Linked DNA regions of Canis lupus familiaris. The protein of the gene in region 1 purifies or fractionates together with the protein of each later gene. This does not show direct contact. Links are inferred from orthologs where the notes say so. Each region holds a gene or a part of one and is shown in the gene's direction. Other genes may lie near its edges.

What was found.
Region 2: the proteins of CHCHD4 (region 1) and TIMM10 purify together in Homo sapiens (co-immunoprecipitation; 4 studies listed by BioGRID and IntAct, with this or other methods). This does not show direct contact. The link is inferred for Canis lupus familiaris from reciprocal best matches to the Homo sapiens genes CHCHD4 and TIMM10.
Region 3: the proteins of CHCHD4 (region 1) and GFER purify together in Homo sapiens (co-immunoprecipitation; 3 studies listed by BioGRID and IntAct, with this or other methods). This does not show direct contact. The link is inferred for Canis lupus familiaris from reciprocal best matches to the Homo sapiens genes CHCHD4 and GFER.
Region 4: the proteins of CHCHD4 (region 1) and SSNA1 purify together in Homo sapiens (co-immunoprecipitation; 3 studies listed by BioGRID and IntAct, with this or other methods). This does not show direct contact. The link is inferred for Canis lupus familiaris from reciprocal best matches to the Homo sapiens genes CHCHD4 and SSNA1.
Region 5: the proteins of CHCHD4 (region 1) and TOR1AIP1 purify together in Homo sapiens (co-immunoprecipitation; 3 studies listed by BioGRID and IntAct, with this or other methods). This does not show direct contact. The link is inferred for Canis lupus familiaris from reciprocal best matches to the Homo sapiens genes CHCHD4 and TOR1AIP1.
Region 6: the proteins of CHCHD4 (region 1) and COA7 purify together in Homo sapiens (co-immunoprecipitation; 3 studies listed by BioGRID and IntAct, with this or other methods). This does not show direct contact. The link is inferred for Canis lupus familiaris from reciprocal best matches to the Homo sapiens genes CHCHD4 and COA7.

Annotation. Positions count from the first base shown.
Region 1 is NC_049241.1:4,306,388-4,310,555, reverse strand, and holds the start of CHCHD4 (mitochondrial intermembrane space import and assembly protein 40), read left to right. Parts: upstream 1-1,368; 5' UTR 1,369-1,542; coding exon 1,543-1,564; intron 1,565-4,168. Other genes in the region: TMEM43 (transmembrane protein 43), read right to left, coding at 983-994.
Region 2 is NC_049239.1:39,105,536-39,109,717, forward strand, and holds the start of TIMM10 (mitochondrial import inner membrane translocase subunit Tim10), read left to right. Parts: upstream 1-1,382; 5' UTR 1,383-1,883; intron 1,884-2,296; 5' UTR 2,297-2,338; coding exon 2,339-2,409; intron 2,410-4,182.
Region 3 is NC_049227.1:39,393,445-39,397,648, reverse strand, and holds GFER (FAD-linked sulfhydryl oxidase ALR), read left to right. Parts: upstream 1-1,404; 5' UTR 1,405-1,419; coding exon 1,420-1,674; intron 1,675-1,825; coding exon 1,826-2,022; intron 2,023-2,919; coding exon 2,920-3,082; 3' UTR 3,083-3,734; downstream 3,735-4,204. Other genes in the region: NOXO1 (NADPH oxidase organizer 1), read right to left, coding at 175-217.
Region 4 is NC_049230.1:48,461,680-48,465,158, reverse strand, and holds SSNA1 (Sjoegren syndrome nuclear autoantigen 1), read left to right. Parts: upstream 1-1,368; 5' UTR 1,369-1,476; coding exon 1,477-1,528; intron 1,529-1,914; coding exon 1,915-2,114; intron 2,115-2,447; coding exon 2,448-2,555; 3' UTR 2,556-2,979; downstream 2,980-3,479. Other genes in the region: ANAPC2 (anaphase-promoting complex subunit 2), read right to left, coding at 379-1,001, 1,201-1,305. UniProt on the Homo sapiens protein: Microtubule-binding protein which stabilizes dynamic microtubules by slowing growth and shrinkage at both plus and minus ends and serves as a sensor of microtubule damage, protecting microtubules from the microtubule-severing enzyme SPAST.
Region 5 is NC_049228.1:13,320,737-13,324,929, forward strand, and holds the start of TOR1AIP1 (torsin-1A-interacting protein 1), read left to right. Parts: upstream 1-1,393; 5' UTR 1,394-1,753; coding exon 1,754-2,234; exon of another isoform or gene 2,235-2,236; intron 2,237-3,965; coding exon 3,966-4,043; intron 4,044-4,193. UniProt on the Homo sapiens protein: Required for nuclear membrane integrity. Induces TOR1A and TOR1B ATPase activity and is required for their location on the nuclear membrane. Binds to A- and B-type lamins. Possible role in membrane attachment and assembly of the nuclear lamina.
Region 6 is NC_049236.1:8,747,056-8,751,001, forward strand, and holds the start of COA7 (cytochrome c oxidase assembly factor 7), read left to right. Parts: upstream 1-1,146; 5' UTR 1,147-1,211; coding exon 1,212-1,317; intron 1,318-3,757; coding exon 3,758-3,898; intron 3,899-3,946. UniProt on the Homo sapiens protein: Required for assembly of mitochondrial respiratory chain complex I and complex IV.

The DNA of each region.
Region 1 (4,168 bases):
AATCTGTAAAATATTGTATGAGGGCAGACAGGGGTCTACCTCTGGGGGCAGGCTGGTCTCCTGACTGTCCTCTCCCCTGGCAGCCCCTGGGTCTTGGGCCACCCCTGAGGCTTTCCTAGGCGCAGCATTCACGACTTCTAGGTCTCCCAGACAACTCTGGCTGAGGTGGAGCGTCCTAGGGCTGTGGGTGATACAAACCCTGCCTCTCCAGGGGCGTGGAGGGCAGGGAGGACCCTCGGGGACATTAGAGAGGCTGGAAAGAGGGTGTAACAGGCCAGGGGACAGTGGCTAGGCCACTCCAGCAAAGCAGGAGGGAGGGAGTGTCCTGGGGCTGGCAGGGCACCAGGGCTGGCTCCAGAAGCACTTGCACAGAGGAGGGGAGTGGTGAGTCACCAGCCTTCCCACACCCAGCACCCTGGTGGGAGGCGCTGCTCGGTTTGTTGAATGAATGCTGGGCGTACATCGCGAAGTCCCCGAGGCAGGCTGGCTGCGGGGAGACACGGCAGGAGGCCTCTGCAGGGAACCACCTTCGGCCAGGGCCCCTCCAGCCAAACACACCGAGGGCACAAGGGCCGGGCCGCGGGTCCGCCTGCTCCCGGTCCTCCGCGCACTCCCGCCCGCACCCTCCCGCGGCATCCCACCGCCGCCCGCACACCGCAGTCCGTCCGTCCGCAGATGGGGCCCGCCCGGGCGGTCCCGGCTTCCCTGGCTCCTCGGAGGTCGCGCCGGCCCCCGCAGCCCCTGCAGGAGGAGCGCAAGGGCCCAGGCGGGAACCCAGAGCGACGCAGGGGCTGCGGGAGGGGCCCTGGCACAGACCCCGACGCGCACCCACCGCGTCTCCTGAGACCCCCGCCCCGCAAACGCGCGGCCCGGACGGCCGGACAAGGCCCCGCAGAGGGCGCCAGGCCGCCAAGCCGGACCCCGGCGGCCGCTACGAGGAGCGGGGAAGCCTGCGGGGTCCGGCGGACCGGGAGACACTCACGTTCGCGGCCATCCTGCGACCCGGCCGGGCGCTCGCCCTCGCTCTGCTCGGCTACGGGAGGGGCTGGCCGCCTGCGGGCAGAGCCCGGCGGCCTCCCGCCTGCTCCGGAGCTGCGAGAATTCGCGTGAACCCCAGAATCAGGGAGGACGCGCAGCAGTCACCGGCCCGCGAGCCACCGCCCTCCCGCTCCAGCGCGCCGCAAGGCCTCCTGGAATATGTAGTTCCGGGGCAGGCGCCGTAGCCACCACGCTGCAACGCGCCGCGGACCTCACTGATGCGCCTGCGCACCGCAAGTCATGAAGGGATATGTAGTTCCTACTGCCTCAGCGCCCCGAGCCGCGCGCGGATCCCTGGGGAATGTAGTTCCCGGCTGAGAGGGGCCGGGCTGGGGCTGGGAGGGCGCGGAGGCAGGCGCGCGGCGGGCAGGCCTGGAGGGGGCGGGTCCGCGTGGGCCTCGGCGCCGCCCGCCCTGCCTAAGAAGAGGTCACCGCGTGAGCCCGCTGCCGCCTGTGCCGCCACCACCGCTACCGCCGCCAGGTCTGAGCCCCGGGGCTGCAGCCATGGCCTACTGCCGGCAGGAAGGTAGGGAGGTCGGGCTGCCATGGAGACCGGCCTACGAGGGCCTGCAGGGGACATGCGGGGCTGCCCCCCCGCGGCCGTGCAGGCCCCGGCGTCCCGCGACCCCATTGCGGGCGCGGGCGGCTGCAGGCGCGGCCCGGGGCCCCCTCTTCGGGACCCTTGGGAGGGCCTGGCGGTGGGGCCGCCACCTCCGCCTTGCAAATGAGAGGACGGAGACCGGGAGGAATGAGGCTGGTCCAAGGTCACTCTGAGCCTCGAACCCGGACCTCCGTAGGATCGGCACGTGGGAGCCTTGTAAACTGGGGGGGGCACGGGAAGTGCTCAGCCCGCTTTCTCTGGCTTGTAATTGGGGATTTATTGTTTTTACTACCGCTTTTGACCACACGTCGCGCGTTTTCCTCCGCACGCGCTGTACAGGAGTGCTCAACGTGCCACCCACGGGTGCATCTACCGAGCGCCTACTACGCCTGAGGCACCGGACCCCGTCGGCCCTGGAGCTGGGGTTCGAGCTGCCGCAGTCCTGATCACCGCCCAGTCTGGTGCCCCTTGGATTCCAGGAGCTCTCAGCTGGAACAGCACCACCTCCACCTCCACCACCTCCACCTCCACCACCTCCACCTCCACCTCCACCACCTCCACCTCCACCACCTCCACCTCCACCTCCTCCTCCTCCTCCTCCACCTCCTCCACTACCACCTCCACCACCTCCTCCACCTCCTCCTCCACCACCACCTCCACCACCTCCACCATCTCCACCACCACCTCCACCTCTACCACCTCCACCTCCACCTCCAGCAAACATTCCCACCACCTCTATCACCTCCACCACCACCTCCACTTCTCCAGCAAAGTGCCCATCTCCTCCCACCTCTCTCCGGTTTCCTTCATCTGTTCCTACCTCTGCTGAAGAACCCAGGAGTCCCAGGGCCTCCCCACACACTGCCACTAACTAGCTTTCTGTCCCTGAGCTGCCATCTAACCAGGCCCCAGTTTCCAGTCTTGTAAGATGAGAAGTTGGTCTTCATTCATTTAGCAGATCACTCACGGGCATCTTGGCTGTGCCTGTTGATAGGAATGGTGGACACATGAGAAAGTAAAGCTACACAGAGAGTTGGAACTCACCCAGAAATTCTTTGGTGAATAGTCAGTCTGGTTCCCTTAGTTTGTTTCAGGGATCTGAAGACCAGAGGAGATGACCTACCCAAGGTCTTTCATACATCCTGTTAGAACAGCTCAGTCTAAAATGTCAAGCTTTTTCCCCAGTACCTCATTCTGCTTTTGGACCCACTCCTTTCTGGGGTCATAAAGCCATAATACTATATTTTTCTAATACTCACTGATGTCTCTCCTGAGTACTATTTTTAGTGATAAATAGTGGTGCCATGAACAAAAGTTCTCTGCCCTCACCACTTTGTTAGTAGACCTCTTTTTTTAAAATTTTCTTTCTCTGGGTTTCTTTTCTTTTTTCTTTCTTTCTTTTTTTTTTTCCTCTGGGTTTCTGATTTACTTCATTTAGCAAATAATTTTGAGCTTTTTAGATATAATGAGGCTATGCAGATGAGTAAGACCTCTCCTTGCCTGTAAGGATATCTAGGAGTCAGGTTTTTTTGGGAAGGAAAGGTAGTTTCCATCTGCCACCAAAGCATGGATCTTTATCTTTTTCTGGGTCAAAGATCTGTCTCTAATTTGGGGATGAGAATTGAAAGCCCCTACCTTATATGGCTCCAGCCTGACTGGTTGGTTGATTGATTGATTTCTTTTAAGATTTTATTTATTTATTTGAGAGGGGGAGAGAGCACAAGCAGGGGGAACGGCAGATGGAGAGGGAGCGGCAGATTCCCCACTAAGCAGGAAGCCCAATGCATGGGCTCCATCCCAGGACCCCGAGATCATGACGTGAGCCAAGGCAGAACCTTAACCACCTGAACCACCCAGGTGCCTCTCCAGCCTGATTTCTAACTACCCCATCATTGCTGAGCCACACTTGCATCTTGGTTGTACTTTGCCTGATACCTCTGTCCTTCAGCTATTCCCACGGCTGGCTCTTCATTCTGAGTTCTGAATCAGTCACTTGCCTGTGCAAATTTACTTCAAGGGTCCCCACCCCCCACCCTCCAGCTTTCGGGTTAAAAGCTTTGGCTTCCAAGGTGTTCCATAGTGTGGACTCTTCCTTTCTCCCTGGCCTGAGACCACCCACACTTTTCAGTATCAGTGCTACACCAGTCCTTCTTTTTGTTTCCTCTTCTCTATTGCTGTCTGCTTTCTCCAGTTCCTCAGCAAACATTTATTGAGCCCCGGTGATGTGCCAGCCTCTGAGCAGGTGCTGGTGAGCACAGATGACATGATCTGCTTCTTAGCATTGGGGAAGAGATGGGCACTCTTTCCGGGTTGGATCTGCTGAAGATTTTGACATGTAAAGATTCCGTGTATTCCGTTCCCCTTTCTGGGAGCAATGAGACCACCCATCCAAGGTTGTTTTGCTGTAATCTACTGAATGGTAGTAATGATTCTGTCTTCCTGTTCTTTGCTGAGGTCTTCAGTTTGGTTTCTCCGTTCTACATTTATTTGTTCAACACATTTTGATTACCCACCATGTTCTGGGCACTG
Region 2 (4,182 bases), on another chromosome or scaffold:
CATTTTCCTGTATAGATGTCATACCTTAATTTTATTGAAAAAAAATTTTTTTTAAGTAACCTCTACACCCAAGGTGGGGCTCAAATTCAGGAGGATGGCTGGGTGGGGGGTGGGGGGAGGTTTGGAATCAAGAGTTGAATACTCTACTGACTGAGCCAGCTAGGGGCCCCTGTTATACCTTAAATTTTTTTTAAAGTGTGTGTCTATGAATTGAGAAATATTTATTTTATTTATTTTTAGTTTTTAACTTTTTTATTTTTAAAGATTTTATTTATTTATTCATGAGAGACACAGAGAGAGGGGGGCAGAAAGAGGAAAGGCAGGGTCCATGCAAGGAGCCTGATGCGGGACTCCATCCCGGAATCTGGGATCAGGCCCTGAGCCAAAGGCAGATGCTCAACCACTGGGCCACCCAGGCGCCCCTATTTTATTATTTTTTTAATATTTTATTTATTTATTCATGAGAGACACACAGAGAGAAAGGCTCCATGCAGGGAGCCCTATGTGGGACTCCATCCGAGGTCTCCAGGATCACACCCTGGGCTGAAGGCGCCGCTAAACCGCTGAGCCACTGGGGCAGACCTATACCTTACTTTTTTTTTCTATACCTTAATTTTAAAAAAGATTTTATCTATTTGAGAGAGAACGCACGCGCTCAAATGTGCACGTGGGGAGAGGCAGAGGAGGGAGAGGGCGAGAATCTCAAGCCCATTCTGCACTGAGCTGGGGGCCAGGGCAGGGCTCTGTCTCATGACCCTGAACCGACCGAGCCACCCAGGCACCTCTAGCTTAATTTTCAAGGATTGGGGCACCGGGTTTGCGAAAGAGGAGTCCTTGGAGGAGACATGAGGGCTGAATTTAGGATCCTGACTTTCTTGGGCAGTGAGGGAAGCATACAGTGACCAGCCATACAGCGTCCGGCCCACCTCCTCCAATGGGCAGCGGACGCTTTGCATCTTGTACACTTTGTTTACTGGGAAATCCCTTGAGAAACAAAAGGATTGGGGGCGGGTTTCTGTGGTGTAGGGGTTCAGATGGAGCAACGCACGCACGGGGTCTGGAGAGAGCAGCTCACAGCCCCTTCCTCCTCCTCGCTCTGATGCACTAGGTTAGCCCCGGCGGCAGCCAACGTTGCTCTTGTTCATCTCTCTGGGCCGGGGCGTCTGGAAGTTGCGCGGACCCGGCTCGTCCTCCTGCGAGCCCGGAGACAGCTTAGCACCTGCGGGCCGCTGCGCTCCCTCCGTCCGGGGAGCTCTGGCTCGCAACCTCGGCTGCACCAAGAAACCGCCCGAGGTCAACTGAAACATTTACTGAAGTCTGCGTCCTGCTCCCAGAGGTTCTGATTTGCTTGGTATGAAGCGAGGCATGGGCATCGGGGCACTGGGAGCGGCCCGGGCGACCGTAACGAGCAGCACAGACACTACGGCCTTGGAGGGCGTCCTTCCTTCTCCGCGCCGCGCCGGGGTCTGTGACCCGCCGTCGAGCCTCGGGGGCTGCGGCCAAGCTTCGCGGAGCCCCGCCCTCCGGCGCCCGCCTACAGACAGTCGCACTGTGACCTCTCCGCCGAAACCCTGGGGACGGCACCGCCAGGCTGCAGGCGCTCTGCACTGCGCCCAAGCCTCTATGGTATTTTGGCGTCCCCTCTAGCCCTTGCAAGTCGCCTTCGGGCACGGCCGGCGGCTCCTCTCTATGGTAGCCGATTTCCCCGCGCCGCCTCGTAGGGGCTTCACTCCGGAAGCGAGTCCGATCAAAGGGGAGGCGGGACTTCCCTCCCGGAAGTGACCCACGTGCTTCCGCCTTAGCCTACCTGGGCGTGCGGCGGCTGTCTAGCGTTTGCGCGAAGTTGAGGACACCGCGGGCACAGTGACTGGCCCCAGGCCGTGGTAAGTGACCGCTCGCTTCAAGGTGACCCCGATGCACCTCGCCGCCACGTCAGAGGTGCAGCCCCTGGGCCGGGACCCGTGGACCTTTAGCACCGCGTGTGATCGAATTCCCAGGGCCCTGGAGGTTCAGGCCCCGCGGTTCAGTGTTCCTTTCCGGTCCCGAGATCTTTTCCTGGGTAGAGTGGCCACGAGGGGCTGGGGCGCCAGGGCTCGATTTCCAGCCCCTCCATTGACGTGCTGTGTTCCCCTTCCGGGCCTCAGTTTCCATATCTGTGAGATGGGATAGTTGAGCCCACTGAGGTCAGTGACCCCTGCCCGCCCGGTGTCCTATGATTGTTCCGCATCCTCTACGTCCCCCTGGGATGGGAAACGGAACGGGAGGGCTCGAAGCTGACGGTGATGTCCGCTCCCAGGACTAGGAGGCCAGGAGATCTTTCCCACGGCGCAGCGCTGAGATGGATCCGCTCAGGGCCCAGCAGCTGGCTGCCGAGCTGGAGGTGGAGATGATGGCCGATATGTACAACAGGTGAGAGCCGACAGCGCGCTCCTTGTCTTTGACAGTGATCCTAGGTCACCCTTCCTCAGGGCACCTGTCGGAGGGTGCGCACCCCCACCTACGCTCCTCGTGGCTGAGGGCCAATGCAGACGCGGTACGGGTCGCTAGAAGGAGTTGGACATCTAGGTTGGAATGCACTTGGCAAGCGAGAGAAGCCCCAGTCCAAGCTCTGGTTGGCTTTCAGGAACGGTTGAGCGTTTGCCTTTGTGGCAAACAGCACGCAGCCCGCTTGGTGGTTTACATTTCTTAAACTCTTACTCCACCTCGGGCACATGCTGAGCATTCTACGCGCCTTCATCTTTTGTGATCTTCAAAATGATCCACCGGGTCGGTCTTAGTTGTCCCATTCTAAGGTGAAGACATGGAGGCTTCTAGAGGTTAAATAACATTCACAGGGCTCACAGTTGGTCAGTAGCAATGTCAGGACCAGGACCTCGGTCTGACTCCAAACGAGTGCCCACAACCATTTGGCAGATGCGGGAACAAATCATAACTGCGCCAATCACCACTAGTGTGGCCGTGGGCAAGTCACTTGGACTGCTTAGTGGTTTTCCTGTCTATAAAATGGAGGTGGGGCACATGATGGTGCAGTTGGTTGAGCATCTGACTCTTGATTTCATTGCAGGTCGTGATCTCAGGGTCATGGGATTGAGCCTCACATTGGGCTCTGCACTCAGCAGGGAGCCTGCTTGACATTCTCCCTCTCCCTCTCCCCTGTTTGCCCACACACATGCCCGCGCAAGTGCTCGCTCTCTCTTTCTCAAATACATAATACTAGTTCTTTTTAAATAAATGAATAAATATTGCTTCTAATCCTTTTGGCTAAGATCAAGTGTAAAAAAATAAATAAATAAAATGGAGATAATAATGGTGCCTACCTCAAGGAGACATTATAGATGTTAAATGTAGAAATGTGTGACAAGGGGTGCCTGGGTGGCTTAGTCGGTTAAGTGTCTGCCTTCAGCTCAGGTTATGGTCCTGGGATCGAGCCCCACGTCCAGCTCCCTGCTCAGTGGGATGTCTGCTTCTCCATTTCCCTCTGCCCCTCTCGTTGCTTGTGCTCACTCTCTCTCTCTTAAATAAATAAATAAAATCTTTTTTTTTTAAAGATGTATTTATTTATTCATGAGAGACACAGAGAAAGAGACAGAGACACAGGCAGAGGGAGAAGCAGGCTCCTCGCAGGGAGCGTGATGACTCAATTTCAGATCCCCGGATCACAACCTGAGCCAAAGGCAGATGCCCAACCACTGAGCCACCCAGGCGTCCCATAGATAAATAAATTCTTAAAAAAAAGAAATGTATATAACAAGCTCTTATTGGGTTTGTATCATGCCCAGTACAAAGTAAGCAGTCCACATGTTTTCTGGTTTTATTGGCTTCAGCTCCATGGTATTTTCTCTTGATGGCTTATCTTGAAGGCTGTATATTAGAATACTTCCAAATATTTAAATAATTTAAAAATGCAGGCCATGAGGTCCTGTGGGTTCATATCCCAGCTTTACAGGATCCTGAGGCTCTCCATGCCTGCATTTCCTTATCTGTAAAATGGGGATAAAGATTGTGCCTGCCTCACAGGGTCATTGTAAGGACTGCATAACCAGCCATGTCAAGCACTTAGCATGATGCCTGGAACATACCCAGTAGTCAACTAATGGCTCCTGTTTAAATAAACTTGGGCTCAGATCAGGTGAGCACTCTCAAGGACCTTCTCAGTTAAGATGCGAACTGAGGATTTACACT
Region 3 (4,204 bases), on another chromosome or scaffold:
GATACCTGCCCTCCCCCTTCCCCGCCCGAGCTCCTCACTAGCTCCTATGAAATCTGCTCAATTCCCAGCTCCCATGGCAGCGACAAGGCCCTGCATGTGCTCCCGCCCACCTTTAGATCTCTCCTCCCACCACCTTCCCCAGGTCCTGTGCCACTGGCTTCTGCCCATGCCCACCTCCAGCCTTGGCCTTGACGGCCTTCCTCCACTGAGTCCTCATCTTTCAGGCCTCTGCCTAAGTGTCACTCCTCAAGGAGGCCTCCGGGATTAGCCACTCCCTGTTCGTGGTCCCCACCAGAGCTTGTCAGTGGACGTGTTACTGTGACTCCCTTGTTTCTTTTTTTTTTTCTTTTTTTAAGATTTTATTTTATTTATTCATTCATGAGACACACAGAGAGAGGCAGAGACACAGGCTGAGGGAGAACCAGGCTCCCTGCGGGGAGCCCGATGCGGGACTCAGTCCTGGGTCTCCAGGGTCACGCCCTGAGCCAAAGGCACGTGCTCAACCGCTGAGCCCCCCGGGCGCCCCGACTCTCACCGCTGACCACTGGACAGTGAGCCGGGGGTCAGGGACGGATCTCGGGCCCCGCCCTGCCCAGCGCCCGGGCCAGGACTTGGAACAGAGCAGACGCCGCACAGACAGGTGCAGGTGACGCACGAGCGCGCGGAGGCTGAGGCCGCTCCCGACGGGGACGTGGACAGCGCCCCCAGGCAGCCCCGGGAGCCCCAGGCCCGCGCCGCCGGCTGTGCAGGCCCCGCCCCGCCCCGCAGCCCCGGCGCCCGTTGCCATGGCGCCCGTTGCCCGGGCCGACCCGGGGGACCCAGGCCCCGGCGCGCCGCGCTCTGTGCGCTCACCGCGCCGCTCCGCGTTGCCGAGGCGCCCGTCTGCCGACCGCAGGGCGCGCCCCGCCGAGGGCACAGAGCCTGGCCGCGGGCACGCGGGGCGGTCGGAGCGGAGCGATGGGGGCGTCCCGGGCCGCAACACGGACTTCGCCCCGGCCGCAGCCGGAGTCCACGGCGCGGCCGCGGCGCGGCTTCCACAACACGCTACTCTTCTACTGGAGGAAGCGGGAGCGCCGCCACGGACGACGCAAGCCGGGCTCGGGACGGGGACCGAAGCCCGGGAGCCCGGCCAGGACCCGGGTCGCCAGCCCCGCGCCCGCGCCCACCCGCACCCCGGCCTCAGGCTCGGCCGCCTCTCCGGCGCGCTCCGCAAGCCCCGGACCCGGCCCCGCCCCCCCGCCGGCAGCCGGCCCCGCCCCCGGCCCCGCTCCCAGCTCCAGCCCGGCCTCCGCGCCTGCGCCTGCGCCCTTGCCCGGCTCCTGTGGCCGCGCCCTGGCGGCGGCGCGCGCGCTGGCCTGGAGGCCGACTTGGAGGCCCCTCTGGAGGCCCAGCTGGCCCGGCAGGCCTTGCGCGGGCAACATGGCGGCGCCCGGCGAGCGGAGCCGCTCCGGCGGCGGGAGCCTTTTCTCCTTCCTGCCCGGCGGCGCGCGCTCGGAGGTGATGGACGACCTGGTGACGGACGCGCGCGGCCGGGGCGCGGGGCGGAGAGATGCGTCCGCCGCAGCCTCGGCCCCCGCGCCGACCCCCGAGCCCCAGGTCGCCGAGGACCCTTCCCGGAGGCGGCCCTGCCGGGCCTGCGTGGACTTCAAGACGTGGATGCGGACGCAGCAGAAGGTCAGATGCCCCTGGGGAGCCCGGCCTGCAGCCTTTCAGCCGTTCGCGCGCGGGGTCGCGCCCGGGCGGGGCGGGGCGCGGCGGGGGAGCCGCGTGGGCGTCGGGCCCCGGACACGACCTGCCCTGACCCTTGGTCGGCCTCCGCCCGCAGCGGGACGGCAAGTTCAGGGAGGATTGTCCTGAGGATCGCGAGGAACTGGGCCGCCACAGCTGGGCTGTCCTGCACACCCTGGCCGCCTACTACCCCGATCTGCCCACCCCAGAACAGCAGCGAGACATGACCCAGTTCATACATTTATTTTCCAAGTTTTACCCGTGCGAGGAGTGTGCTGAAGACATCCGGAAGAGGTGAGTGTGTCTACCTTGCCTGTCGGCGGCGGAGCTGTCCCACCTGGAGCCTGGGGCCCCTGCTGATGTCATAAAGGGGCAGCGGTGGCCGCGGCTTGCCCAGAGCAGGGGCCAGCTAAGCCGTCTCCTTTCCCCTCAGAGGCCCAGCTGCCTGGGGCTGCTGCTGAGGGCTGCTGCTGGGCACTGCTGCTGTCGCAGCCAGAAGGCTCCTGGTGGGGCTTCACGTACAGAGGTCCCTGCTTGGAACTCCTAGGGGCACGGGCAGGTGGATGAGTCCACTTTGCCTGACTTCTATAGCAGGACTGCTGCATGTAAGGCTTGAGAACCCACTGCTTTTGCTCCCAGCAGCCACCTTTCCTTCACTGGGGAGCGCAAGAGCTGTTATTTGGCACCCACAGGTGTTTCTGGCCTGGATGCGGGGCCTGGGGCAGCCCTTGCCATTTGAACCTGGGCAGTTAGAACAGGTCTCTTGCTAGGCTGAGGCCCAAGGGCCCCAGGTGCTAGCAACAGGTCTGGTTTCCAGTTATGCCTTTGTGCTGGCGCCACCCCTTTCACACACTGCCCGGGGCCAGGGATGCTGGGGTGAGGCTTCCTGATTGTTACGAGGTTGTAAAGTTGCATGAGGTTGTAAAGTTGCATGACGAGTGCCTTAATGTCTTGGGTTTACTGAGCTCCATAGATAAGGGGTTGAGCAGGCCTAGGAGTGGGCCAGTGGTGGACAGAGCAGGATCAGGCCTGTTCCGGGCATGCCTACCTCTCAGAGCATGAGAGGGCTCATGGGTGTAGCTGGCAGCAATACCCAAGCTCTCCTCCCTGGATCCAGCAGGCAAGGAACTGATGGGGTAGGGGCAGTGGGGCCACTGCCTGTCCCCATCGTCACATGCTTCCCTCACACAGGATATGCAGGAACCAGCCGGACACGCGCACTCGGGCCTGCTTGACCCAGTGGCTGTGCCGCCTGCACAATGAAGTGAACCGCAAACTAGGCAAGCCGGACTTCGACTGCTCACAAGTGGACGAGCGCTGGCGCGATGGCTGGAAGGATGGCTCCTGTGACTAGATAGTGGCCGGCAGAGCTGTGGAACAGCAGTCCGGGCCTGCGGGCAGCCTGGCCAGAGGGGGATGGGGCACTCATTAAAGTGCATCAGAGCCAGAGCCTGTTGTGTCTCAGTTGGATCGTCCCCAGAGACTGCTCATGGGGCCCTTTCCTCTTAGGTTTGTAGTCAGAGCAGAGGTGCCTGCTGCAGACACCTCGACGGCCCTTCCTCAGCCAAGGCCCCGTGCGGCTGTAGGTGAACGAGAGGGAGCAGCCCAGGCTGTGCCTTACGTTTGGGATGTGGTGTCCTGCTCACCCCACACCCTGGTGCCCGCTTCCCTACACAGGAATGTGACAGGCCTGCTAGGGCTCCCTGTCCTGCTCCTTGAGGTAGACCATTGTCTCCCAGCCATGACCGTGTAGCAAGGGCCGGCTGCAGTGACTGTAACTCTACAGGCTGTGTGCTGTTTGCAGTTCAGAAAAGAGGTCTGGGGGTTGAGCTCTCCTCCCTGCTCAATGTCTACAAGGAAAGCACAGGCAGGCTGCTTCTCTGACAGTCCACCAACGCTGCTGCCCGCCTCCCATCCAGCACATACCTGTACCAGGCCTGTCAAGAGGCTTTGTGGAACCAATCTCAGAGCTTGAAACCAAAATAAAATAATGGAGGAGTGGCCAAGGGCGTGGCTTCGGTGTGTTTTGTGTCAAACTTGCCGTGGTGGACAGGGCTTGCCCTTGCTGCTCCAGGCAATGGCTTCCATTTGTCCCAAGTTCTGCTCCATAGGAGGAGGGCAAGGTCCCAAGTGCAGAGGCAACCTGGGAAGTCCCAGGAACAGCAAGGAAGCCGAGTGCTGGAGCTAAGGAGGGTCAGGGGTGAGTGGGAGGTCAGATGGTACATAGTCTTCAAGTGCCCCACAAGGACTTTGTTTTAATACCTACCTTCTGTGGCAGGAAAGTCGTGGAGGATTTGGAGTAATGGCAAGGAATGGCAAGATGACTTCCGGGAGGGACGCCTGGGGGGCTCAGTGGTTGAGCGCCTCCCTTTGGTCCAGGGCGTGATCCCAGGGTCCTGGGATCAAGTCCCGCATCGGGCTCCTTTCAGGGAGCCTGCTTCTCCCTCTGCCTGTGTCTCTGCCTCTCTCTGTGTGT
Region 4 (3,479 bases), on another chromosome or scaffold:
AAATCTCTCTTTTTTTTTTTTTTGCAATTATAGGAGAGGATAACTATCTTCCCTTCCCTGGAGAGCCTACAGAAGACACAGCAGACTTGTATGTGACCGGAAATCTGGAATCACATAGGGTCTTGGTGTGCACGCAGTGTGAAACCTGAGATTAGCGTGAGTGGCAGAGATACTTGTTCTTTTTATCCAGGACAAAGAGTATAAATTCACAGCACAGGGACCCTGGGGACTGTCCCTTTGTAATGTCCAGGACTGTCAGGGCAGAGATGCCCCCCTCCCCAGAGCCAGCTCACCAGCTTTCTGAAGAGGCCGCTGGACCCAGGAAAGTAATCTAGAGTCAAGAAGAACAGGGAAATGGCCACAGCCACAAGTACTCACAGGACCTGGCTGAGCTGGTGAAACTGCTCCAGGGCCTGGCGGCACCAGCATTGCTGTTTGTCACTGCCACACCCCGCACACAGGGGGCTCTGCAGAAGTCTGTAGTACCGCCGGCGGGCGTACCTGCTGTCCAACTCCCCCTCTAGTTCCGGGTCTGTGCCCCCTTCCCCCTTCCTCTTACTCTGCATGTAGACTCTCAAAAACCGCCCGTAGAGGCGCTGAATCATCTCCTGAAACATTCTGGGAGTGGAAAAGAACAGGACGCCCCGCAAGGTGGTATGGACTTTCTCCCGAAGCCCCTGAGCGCCTGCGCCCATCAGCAAGCCCAGGCGAGTCCACTTCTCCAGCAGCTCCAGGCTACGCAGGTAGGGGTCCAGGCGACTCTCCAGCAGGCCGAAGGCGTCAAGGAGCAGCAGAAGGCACTGGGGCTCGTCCGCACAGTTCTCACGCTGGGAGATGGTATTCCAGAACTCGAGCGAGATGTGGGCCTGCAGGTCGTTCTGCAGCACCTCCACAAACCACTCCTCCAGCACCGAGTGCAAGCCGTGGCCCCTCAACACCTCCACCGCCGCCCGGAGCTCCTCCTCCTTCGGCGGCACCGCACCGCTGGTGCGGGAGGACGCCTGCGGTGCAGAAAACCGTGAGAAGGGAACGCGGAGGGACGCGGAAAGCGCGGGGACGGACGGGGAGCAGTGGGGAAGGGACGCAGCGGAGGGGAGGCTGCGGCCGACGCCAGGTAGGAGCTGTCCGGGAGCACAACGCCCACCCGGCGGACGTCCCAGGGACCCCGCGCGGGCCCGCTGCCCTCTCCCGGGGCCTCACCAGTCCGAGCGCGGCCGGCGGCACTAGCCCGGTGCTCACGGTGTTCCAGGCCAGCAACAGCTCCTGTGCGGGCCCGGGGTCGCCGTCGCGCCCCGCCGCCGCCATCTGCGCGGCCCCCTCCAGGTCCCCCGAGCTCCGGGTGCGGCGCGCGGCGATGACGCACACGAGCGGCGCGCAGCGGTGACGTTTCGGAGGGCGCGCCGTCGGACGCACCGCGCAGGCGGGAGCGGCGATGCAGTAGCGGCGGTTGGGGTGGTCGCGGCCTGGGCGGTCACCATGACCCAGCAGGGCGCAGCGCTGCAGAATTATAACAACGAACTGGTCAAGTGTGAGCGGCCTCGCGGCGGGGTCCGCCTGGTGGGCTGGGAGGGCGCGGGGCTCGCCGGCCTGCGGGTCCAGGCGGTGGCGGGCCTGCCGCGCGTGGCCCAACGGGCTGCACCGTCCGTGCGTGGGGCCTCGGCCGGGACGGCGCCGGGGGCCTTGCGGGCGAGCCAGGGGGACAGCCGCTGTGCCGCTCGCCCGGGCGCCGGGTATCTGCGCAGTGAGGGACAGAGCGGAAGGGGAGAGCGTGCACCGCCTCCCGCCCCCCGCACGGTCCAGGGTGCGAGGGGTGCGCACCGTCCAGTGCACCGGGCACGCTCCAGAGTGGGAGGGGTGCTGTGCTCCCTCCTGCCCTGGGTCCACAGCGTGTGCCCTCCCGCTCGCCCATCCCAGGCATCGAGGAGTTGTGCCAGAAGCGGGAGGAGTTGTGCCGGCAGATCCAGCAGGAGGAAGACGAGAAGCAGCGGCTGCAGAATGAAGTGAGGCAGCTGACCGAGAAACTGGCTCGCGTCAACGAGAACCTGGCCCGCAAGATTGCCTCTAGAAACGAGTTTGACCGGACCATCGCGGAGACAGAAGCCGCCTACCTCAAGGTGGGGCTGGGGCCCCGGGGGAGTCTAGGGCCGGCCAAACGCAGGGGCGACAGGATCCCGGTTAGGTGTCAGTGAGGCTGTCGGGGGCCTGGCAGGTCAGGAGTCCTGTTTTCTGCACCATTGTCCTCCCAGACCATGAGCAAAGAGCGGCCCCGGGCTCAGCTAACCTAGACTGGCTTCCCTGGGGTGCGAGGAAGGGGCTTTGGGCTAGTCTTAGGGGGAACGGGCCCTGCTGACCCTGTCTGACCTGCCCTTCAGGGGCTTCATTGCACTGCTGCCCCACAGCTCAGTGCTGGCGAGGAGTGGTGGTGACCATCCTACGTCTGTTTCCAGATCCTGGAGAGCTCGCAGACTCTGCTTAGTGTCCTGAAGAGGGAAGCTGGGAACTTGACCAAGGCCACAGCCTCAGAGCAGAAGAGCAGCGGAGCTAAGGACAGCTGATGGGGCCGTTCTGGGGAGGGGCCTGCCTCTACTGTGCCCGGCAGTGGCTGGGCCTCCGACTATCCTCAGCGTCTTTACTCTTTTTGGCACCAGCTGCCCCCTTTCAGTGTCTCAGGTACCAAGAGGCTGTTGCCAAGCTCCACCTGCCCCAGGTGACAAGGAAACCTCTGGGCACGTCCCGGCCTTGTACTCATGCAGGACTTGGGGAGTGCAGGCTCTGGGTCAGTTCTGTTCAGGGCCTGAGGTCGCCACCACCCCCCATCCCGGTGCTGCCAGAAAGGCCCTGCTCCCTTGTCTCCACACCATGAGAGTGGCCTCACCTTGCTGCCCCAGCCAGGGAAGTGGGCAAAGGGCAGGGGCCCTGCACCTCAGAGCTTGTCCTGGTGGCATGTGACTGTCAATAAAGCTTAGGTTTGTAAAGATGCCCTGTGGCCTGTGCCTGGAGTGCAGAACTGCTGGACACCTCCGGAATGAATGAATATGAGCCCCTGCCCAGCTGGGTATGGTTCATCCTTGGATGAGGGAAGCCTGGACTGGCTTTCCCTGTGCTTTTGAAAAGAGTTGAAGGTATCCTTGAGCATCTCCCGAGACCTTGTCCCCCACCCTTTCTCCCCACCAGGGCTGCTGGCCTCTGGTCCCCAACTGCACTTAACCTACTGCCCTGGAGGTATTCTGCCCATAGCTCCCAGTCCGTGCTGTTCCCTATTACCCAGCACGAGGTCTGGCCCAGAAGGATGCCCTCTTTTTCACCCATCCTCCAGACAGGCCTGTGCCCCAGCTTCAAGGTTCTTTCTTTCTTTCTTTCTTTCTTTTTTTTAAGATTTTATTTATTCATGAGAGACAGAAAAGAAGAGACATAGGTAGAGGAAGAAGCAGGCTCAGTGCAGGGAGCCCGATGTGGGACTCAATCCTGGAACTCCAGGA
Region 5 (4,193 bases), on another chromosome or scaffold:
CCTCTCTCTCTCTGTGTGGCTCTATGAATAAATAAAATCGGAAAAAAAAAAAAAAATCCAGTGTCACCAACACTGGATTTCTAGACCTAGGCACAACAGCTAAGTATATAAATTGATGCCAGCCATTTAATCTGATTTTTTTGTATAGGTCTTTCCCTAATAAAAGGCAAATTCCCTAAGAGTAAAGAATACATATTAACTTAATGTATACATCTATCGAACACCTATTCTGTGCCAACATAGGTATAGGTACTGGATTCTCTTACCTGTCTTGTGATCCACTTAATTCCTCTGTATTTTTCAAATTCCCAAACTAATTGTCTAACATCCAGAGCTCATGCCTCTTCCCGGTACTGATGACCTGCAAGCCTCTTACGCTATTGGCTACGAATCCACTGCCTCTAACGTCACGTCTTTGGGGCCACCCTTAGAGTTTAGAAAACATCTACAGCAGAAAATCTGGTTTGACAAGAGTTTAGCTTTACCTCAAAGTTAAAGTGATCAGGGCTGGTATTTGTAACGTTGCTAGGTGTGGGAGGCAGGAACGGCAGCGCTAGAATTATGCATTCTTATTACCTAAAGAGGGGGAAAACCCTAAGCAATATGTAGGTGTTAAAGTCATCGTGCCTCTGATTTCGAGATTCCTCATTTGTTTCTTGGGAAAGCCAAACCCGTAAGTTTCCTTCCTGAGCCTTTACAAGAATCCTGTGTAACGCAGTGAACGGACTATTCACAATAATACGAACATCATCTTCTCTGCTCAGCAACACGTAGTAGAACCGCTTGTCCTTTCTTTTTAAAGATGTCCCCAAAAACCGGAGTTCCGCAAGTTTGTAGCCCAGCTTCTACACACACACACACACACACACACACACACACACACAAAACTGCACCGGTTAATGTTTTAAAGAGATCCCTTAACATGCGCTAATAACGTTCATAACGTGCACTTTGCACATCGGCACTACAAAGGTTCACATCCTTTAATGATGACATTATGAGGCTTTTATGATGTTTAAGAGTGAGCCACAGTAACAGGCACCTTATAAAAGAAATCGTTAAAGAAAGGCCAGGCATCACTCAGTGTACCGATCGTCGCAGCAGTTTCTCCGAGAAGAATTAAATCCCACAATTTCTTTCCACCCCCCCCCCCCACCCGCCTCCCCCCAGGAAAAGGCAGCATTGGCAGAAGTTATCTTCATGAAGACTCCTATAGAAACACTTGGAAAGGCAGGGCTAAGGCAGCGGTCAAATCAGAACGACTCCGGGGCGGCGAGGACTCCAAGCTGGGCACCCGACTCTCGCTCGGCGGGCCTTCCCGGGGGGCTCGGGGGCGGCGGGCAGCACCCGCGCCTCCCGCGTGCGGGCAGCGGCGGCCGGAGCCGCTGGGGCCGGGGAGGCAATCCGCGCTGCCGGCTGTCCCCTCCCCCCAGGCCAAGGACAGCGACGTCGTCCTCCCGCTTCTCCTCCTCTTTGGTGCCTTCAGCCAGGAGGCGGGAGTGACCCGCAGCAGCTGACCCGGCATCGGCACTGCCTCTCCCACAGCCCTCAGGACAAGCCATGGGCCCAGAGGCGGCTTCGCAGCACGGCAGCGACGACGCAGGCGGCGGCCCCGGCGCCTCTCAACTGCCTCCCTGACCGCCGCAACCACACCCTCGCAACAGCCATCGCCACCAACGCCAGGAGAACCGACCGACGCGCCCCCCCGCTCCGCAAACCACCTTCGCGATCGCCTCAAGCTACGTCAACAACTATGGCGGGCGACGGGCGGCGGGCGGAGCCGGGGAGGGAAGGCTGGCGGATGTACGTCACACCCCGCGCCCCCCTACGGGAGGGAAGGCGCCGGCTCGCCCCTCAAAATGGCGGCGGCAGTGACGCGCCTGCGTACGGGACTCCTTCGCCGTCGCGCCACGGCCGGCGGGAAGTGAGGTTCTCGGAAGAGCCGCCAGAAGTGTACGGCGACTTCGAGCCCCCGGTGGCCAAGGAAAAGTCCCCGGGGAGAAGACGGCTCTCGCTAGAAGAGTTCCGGCCTGAGTCTGCGAAAGGGGAAGTGCGAGGAAGCGCCTACTACCTTCGGTCTCGGCAGCGGAGGCAGCCGCGACTCCAAGGAGCCGAGGAGATGAACACGCGAAGGGCGACCCGCCTGCAGGAGCAGCAGCAGCAGCAGCAGCAGCAGCAGTCACCGTCTCCGGTGACGACCAGGAGAGGGTTACGGGACTTTCATCCGTCTGACGGTGAGTGAGGCCGCCGGAGGGAGCAGTGTCCGCGGCGAGCCGGGGGGCGAGCGCAGCGCGCGGGCGGGGGCGGGGCGTGTGCGCGTGCGTCCCGGCGCAGCCCCTCGCAGCCCCTCGCCGCGCAGCTCATCCCGCCGGGGCTCCCGGGGCTCGCGGCGCGGGGGCCCCCCGACCGACCGACCGACCGCCCGACCGCCCGCAGGCGGGGCGGGGACGCAGGCGGGAGGGCTGCAGAGGCTCGGGGGCGCGACCTGAGCGGCGAGCTCCGCGCCTCGCCGGGCACCGGCCTGCGGGGGAGGAGGGGGCTCCGGCTCGCCTCTCTCTGCAGGCCTTGGCGGGGGGCAGGGGGGTGACGGCGGCTCGGGGGGCCAGCGGGCAGGGAGACACTCCAGGCTCGCTTTCACTTCGGTTCCCTCCGTTCTGCGGATGTTGCTACCAAAGCCACTTCCATTTCCTCTAACTCTCAGAGGCCACGAGTCCCCAGCTGAGAGTGATGCTTCTCGGGTAGCCTCCCAGGCTTTTCTCCATCGCTACCGAGGTCGGGGGAGGAGGAGGGAGAAATTGGGTGAGTGGGCGTTTGGAGGGAGCGCGCCGTTTTTTAAATGGACTTGAGACCCCACCCGAATACTTCTACCGAGGTGGGGGTAAGGCGAGTTATCCTGAACTTGAAGATCCCTAATGCCTGATAAACTTGAGCTGATCGCTCTTTCTCAAGCAGGGTGGTCTCTGCAAAAAATCGCCACGTGTTTGTTTTTTTTTTTTTTTTTTGCGGGGGGGGGGGGGCGGGCTTCGATGCAACCTCATGGGTTACTTAGCTTGACCAAGGAAGATTCTGAGTTAGTTTTCCTCTAAATGGGCCGAAAGGATGTTGGCAAAGTGAGCGTGTGGATTAGGTGAGGCACAGGTGAAGCAACTCCCTTGAGCCATCCTCTCCCGCCCACTTCCCTGTCCCCTATCTGAATCACGGGTGTAGTTTCGTGGGAGGCCCACGTAAGGCACCAATGAGGTAAAAATCCAGGGGGTTTGAATCACAAAGTGATTGCATCCTTAGTGGTAGACCATGGATAGATAGGAAGAAGGAAGTGGACCTTCAGCTCGCAGCAGAGCTGTAGGCAACGCTCGTATCTGCTGACCCATGCAGCACTGACACATCTGAAGATGCCTTGATTTTGAAAACTTTATTTTAAAGAAAATGTTAACTTAATATGGGGTGGAGCTTACTCCAGACATTTTAGCCTATGTGTATGTTCTATCTCTCTTTTAGAATTAGAAACTTACTGAGGACAAGGATCCCATCCTATTTGAAGTTAATTCCATCTCCTTCAGTATCTGAAGAGCGCTTTGCCGACGATAGGCAACAAATAGGTTACATTGTATTGACTCTGGCACAGATCCTCCTGCAGTTATAGAAGCTGACTTTTTTAATACATAAAGGATTTACTTCTGTTTTAATAAATCTATAAGGATCTTAAACATTTTGCACACTTCTGCTTTCTTCGACGTTTCTGAAACTCTGGACCATCTTTTAAATTTCTAAATTAATATGGTTTTATTATAAAGCATCAAAGGTGAATAGTTTATATTTTTAAGAGTAGTAGTTTTGGTGGACCTAATTACACATTTCTAAAGAATTACTTGCCTTTCTGTTTATATATTGCTGTTAGGGTGCATAATCTGGACCCAAATGTCAATCTGTTTTGAATTTTGACATATGTAATGTCTGTTCTTTAGAGGATGAACCATCTACACAAACTATTTTAAGCCAAGCAGTCCCGAAGAAAACTATCCAGAGAATACAAGAAACTCCAGGTAAGAAAAGCGATTGTTTTTTGCCTTATCTGCCAGCTTTTTTTTTTTTTTTTTTAAGATCTTAATTTATTTATTCATGAGAGATACAGAGAGAGAGGCAGAGACACAGGCAGAGGGAGAGGCAGGCTCCTGGTGGGGAGCCTGATGCGG
Region 6 (3,946 bases), on another chromosome or scaffold:
TCCATCCACGTCTAAGCAAATGGTGGGTATTTGTCGTTTCTAATGGCTGAGTAATATTCCATTGTATACATAAACCACATCTTCTTTATCCATTCATCTTTCGATGGACACCGAGGCTCCTTCCACAGTTTGGCTATTGTGGTCATTGCTGCTATAAACATTGGGGTGCAGGGGGACATGAATTCTTATTAAGATCTGTCTATCCTCGGGGATCCCTGGGTGGCTCAGTGGTTTAGCACCCGCCTTTGGCCCAGGGCGCGATCCTGGAGTCCCGGGATCGAGTCCTGCGTCGGGGTCCCTGCATGGAGTCTGCTTCTGCCTCTGCCTGGGTCTCTGCCTCTCTCTCTCTCTGTCTCACATGAATGAATAAATAAATAATCTTTTTTAAAAGGAAGATAATAAGAATCCCTACTCAGTAGTGTCACAATGAGGGTCATAGTGAGAATTGAATTGGACTTTGTATCTTAGAATAGAATCTGGAACAAAGTTCAACACGGTTTAAGCGTTTGCTATTGTAACAGAATCATTACAACCTCTGCAGCTGCCGTGCTGCGGTCATCATCTCCCCACAGCCATTCCTTTCTTAGGTCGTTCAGGTTGGGGACGGGAGGATGGGGGGGTAGACCTGAGAGGAACGCACAGATGAACCAGACTTCTCATTTCATTGCACTAGAACAGACTTACAAATATTGGTTTCTGCAACCACACCTGGCCCAGAGTAGTTGCTCAGAATGCTTGCTGAATGAATAAACAAATGTCTTCCTACCAAACCGCAAGCTCTTTAAAGGCAGGTACTACTTCCTGGCTGTTGTGTTACTGGGACCAGGGACGGTGAGGCACCCAGCAGGCACAGAGATCATCCAACAAAGGAATGAATGAAGAAATAAATGACTGCAGACAGAAAATCATTAAGGGCGCAAAGGTGGCGCAGAAGTAGTCCTGCAGGAAGGCTGTCGCCGGTTTGAGGGAAGGAGGGAGAGTAGCAAGAGAGGCGGCGGCCGAAGGTCTTCCACGTTAGGTCTGCCGCGCTCCCGCTTCGGGATTGGCTGAGCCGCCCGCGCACTCGGCGGCACGCCCCGCCCCCGCCCCGGCCCCGCCCCCGCCCCGCCCCGGCCCCGCCCCCGCCCCGGCCCCGCCCCGCCCCGCTGCTCACGTGACCGCGCGGCGGGCGTGCGGAGCGGCGGGCTGAGCTCGGCCGGCGCGCAGGGGCCATGGCGGGCGTGGTGGACTTCCAGGACGAGGAGCAGGTGAAGTCCTTCCTGGAGAACATGGAGGTGGAGTGCAACTACCAGTGCTACCGCGAGAAGGACCCCGACGGTGAGTGCCGCCGGCGCGGGCTGCGGACACGTGGGGAGGGACTTGCGTGTGTCGGTGGCTGGGACGCCCATAGAGGCCGCCCAGAGCGGCCAGTACCTTTAGCTGGTTTTCTCCTTCCTACTTCATTTTTATACGGGGAAAACATGGCACTGGCCTTCCCTTCTGATAGCCTGCAGCCTGTTTTCTAGATTAGGATGTAGCTATTTCTTGATGCTGACAGACTGACCAGGGTTGTTGTGCAGTGCGATGGCTGAGCCAGGGTGGCTCGGTCCTGGGAAGAGTGGGAGTCCCTAGGAGCAGGACAGCGGGGAAGGACTTGTGGGCGAGGGCGGGGAGCGGGGGCCGGGGGCGCAGACGAGGTCGGCTGAGTGGAGGCCAGGGCGGGAGAGGAGATGGCTGCCTTCCAGGTGCTGCCGAAGGCTGCCGTTAGAAAGAAGGTTGAAGAGGGAACCCGGGCTGCAGTGTATCAGGTAAGGCACTTAGATTTCATTGTGTAGGCAGTGGAGAGCCTTAGGTGTTTTTTTTTTTTTTTTAAGATTTTATTTATTTATTCATGAGACCCAGAGAGAGAGAGAGAGGCAGAGACACAGGCAGAGGGAGAAGCAGGCTCCACGCAGGGAGCCCGACGTGGGACTCGATCCCGGGTCTCCAGGGTCAGCCCTGGGCTGCAGGCGGCGCTAACCCGCTGAGCCACGTGGTGCCGCCCGCAGGAGAGTGCGCTGAGTAGGGCCGCGGGGAGGAGGGCTGCAGCGCGTTCGGGAGGCTGCAGTTCCTGTAGCTGCTATCCTTTGAAGCCTTCCTGACGCTCCCCAGAATTACTGAGATAGCTGCCTAACCCGACTGTTTGCATGCTCACTCCCTAAAAATCTGTTCTCTACCCTCAAACTGATAGTTACATTTTCATCTGTCCTATTAAATGCTATCTTATTCGATGTTTAAATGACAAGACAGCCCGTTTGTTGTTGTCAGTGCAGAGTGTACCCCCTCCAGCATTTTGTTCCATTTTCATCCTGACATATACAAACATACGCTGGAATGACCTTTTAAAATGCAAATTGAATCATATCACTGCTCTTCTTAAAACCCTCCAGTGGTTTGCCTTTGACCTGCAATAAAATCCTAAGTCCTTCCTGTGTTCCACAATGCCCTGGTCCCTGCCTTTCTCTCCTCATTTCCTTTTTTTTTTTTTTTTTTAATATTTTATTTATTTATACCTGAGAGACAGAGAGAGAGGCACAGGCAGAGGAAGAAAGAAAGGCAGAGGAAGAAGCAGGCTCCACGCAGGGAGCCCAATGCGGGACTCGATCCTAGAACCCCAGGATCACACCCTGAACTGAAGGCAGAAGCTCAACCACGGAGCCACCCCAGCGTCCCTCTCTCATTTCCTACCCGTTTCCATCTCCATCCACATTATTCCGTATTTGTACTAAGTTTATTCCCTCTTTGAGGCCTTTTAATTTATTGTTTCTTGTGCCTGAGACTTTCTGCCCCCTTCCATTTCATTATCTTTAAATAGCTAGTTCATTCTTGTTATTCACATTTAAACTTACACATGGTCCTTAGGCCCTCCTTGATTGCCCAGTTTATGGTAATTATTCCCCCAGCGTGCACAACAAACTATCTTATCCTGTTTATTTCAATCATATAACGTTTATTACTGTTGAAATGCGTCTTAAAAAAATAAATCTATCTTGCTCACCTATTTACTTATTTCTTCCCCCTCCTGTAGAATGTAATTTTTAGGAAAGCAAGTGACTATTCCTAGCATCTACAACAGTGTAAGGTACGCAGTTGCACATAGATGCTCAAACATTTGTTGAATGAAAGTGAATGAGATGAGTATTATTTGAGATGAAGAAGAAGGAACAGAGACAGAGGGGAGAGATATTGGGAGGAGGCTCACTGGGACTAGAGACTGCCAAAGAGAGTCTGTTTCTAACTCTTTTAGTAGCTTCTATTCCTAGTCTGTCTTTGGACTTCTCATTCTCAGCCTGGCTGAGGAGTATAGCACCCCTTTCTTGCTACAACAGGGACTAGCCCATAGACCATTTTGGTTTCCAGTGTTTTATTGCTGAACTTCCTGGGAAGCCCCAACCAAAGGCAGCAAAGTTTCAATCATGGAAGTCTGAGTCTTTGGCCTTGGGTGACAGGGAACAGAAGGGCTCCACCACAGTGGCTGGTGAGTGGCAGAGCCAATAGAGCAGCCGTGGTCACTCCAGCTTGTATGTGGTTCAGTCCCTGGCTGAGGGCAGATGACACCATTTGTAGGAATAGCTGGACACCACTTGCATTCTTTGTGGTGAGATCACCTTGCCACACCTCAGGAGAACAGAGGCTGGTCCTAAATGAAAGACACACTCTGGCCTGCCACACCTCAGCCCTCCCCACTGCTGTGCAGCAGCACCAGACATGAAGAGCAGCTCTTGCTTTTTCCTCACAGGATGCTATCGCCTGGTGGACTATTTGGAAGGGATCCAGAAGAATTTTGAGGAGGCTGCCAAGGTGCTGAAGTTCAACTGTGAAGAGAACAAACACAGCGATAGCTGCTACAAACTGGGGGCCTATTATGTGACGGGGAAAGGTAAGGAGGCGCCTGCTTTCTTTGGTCATTATCATGGATAGTAATGCT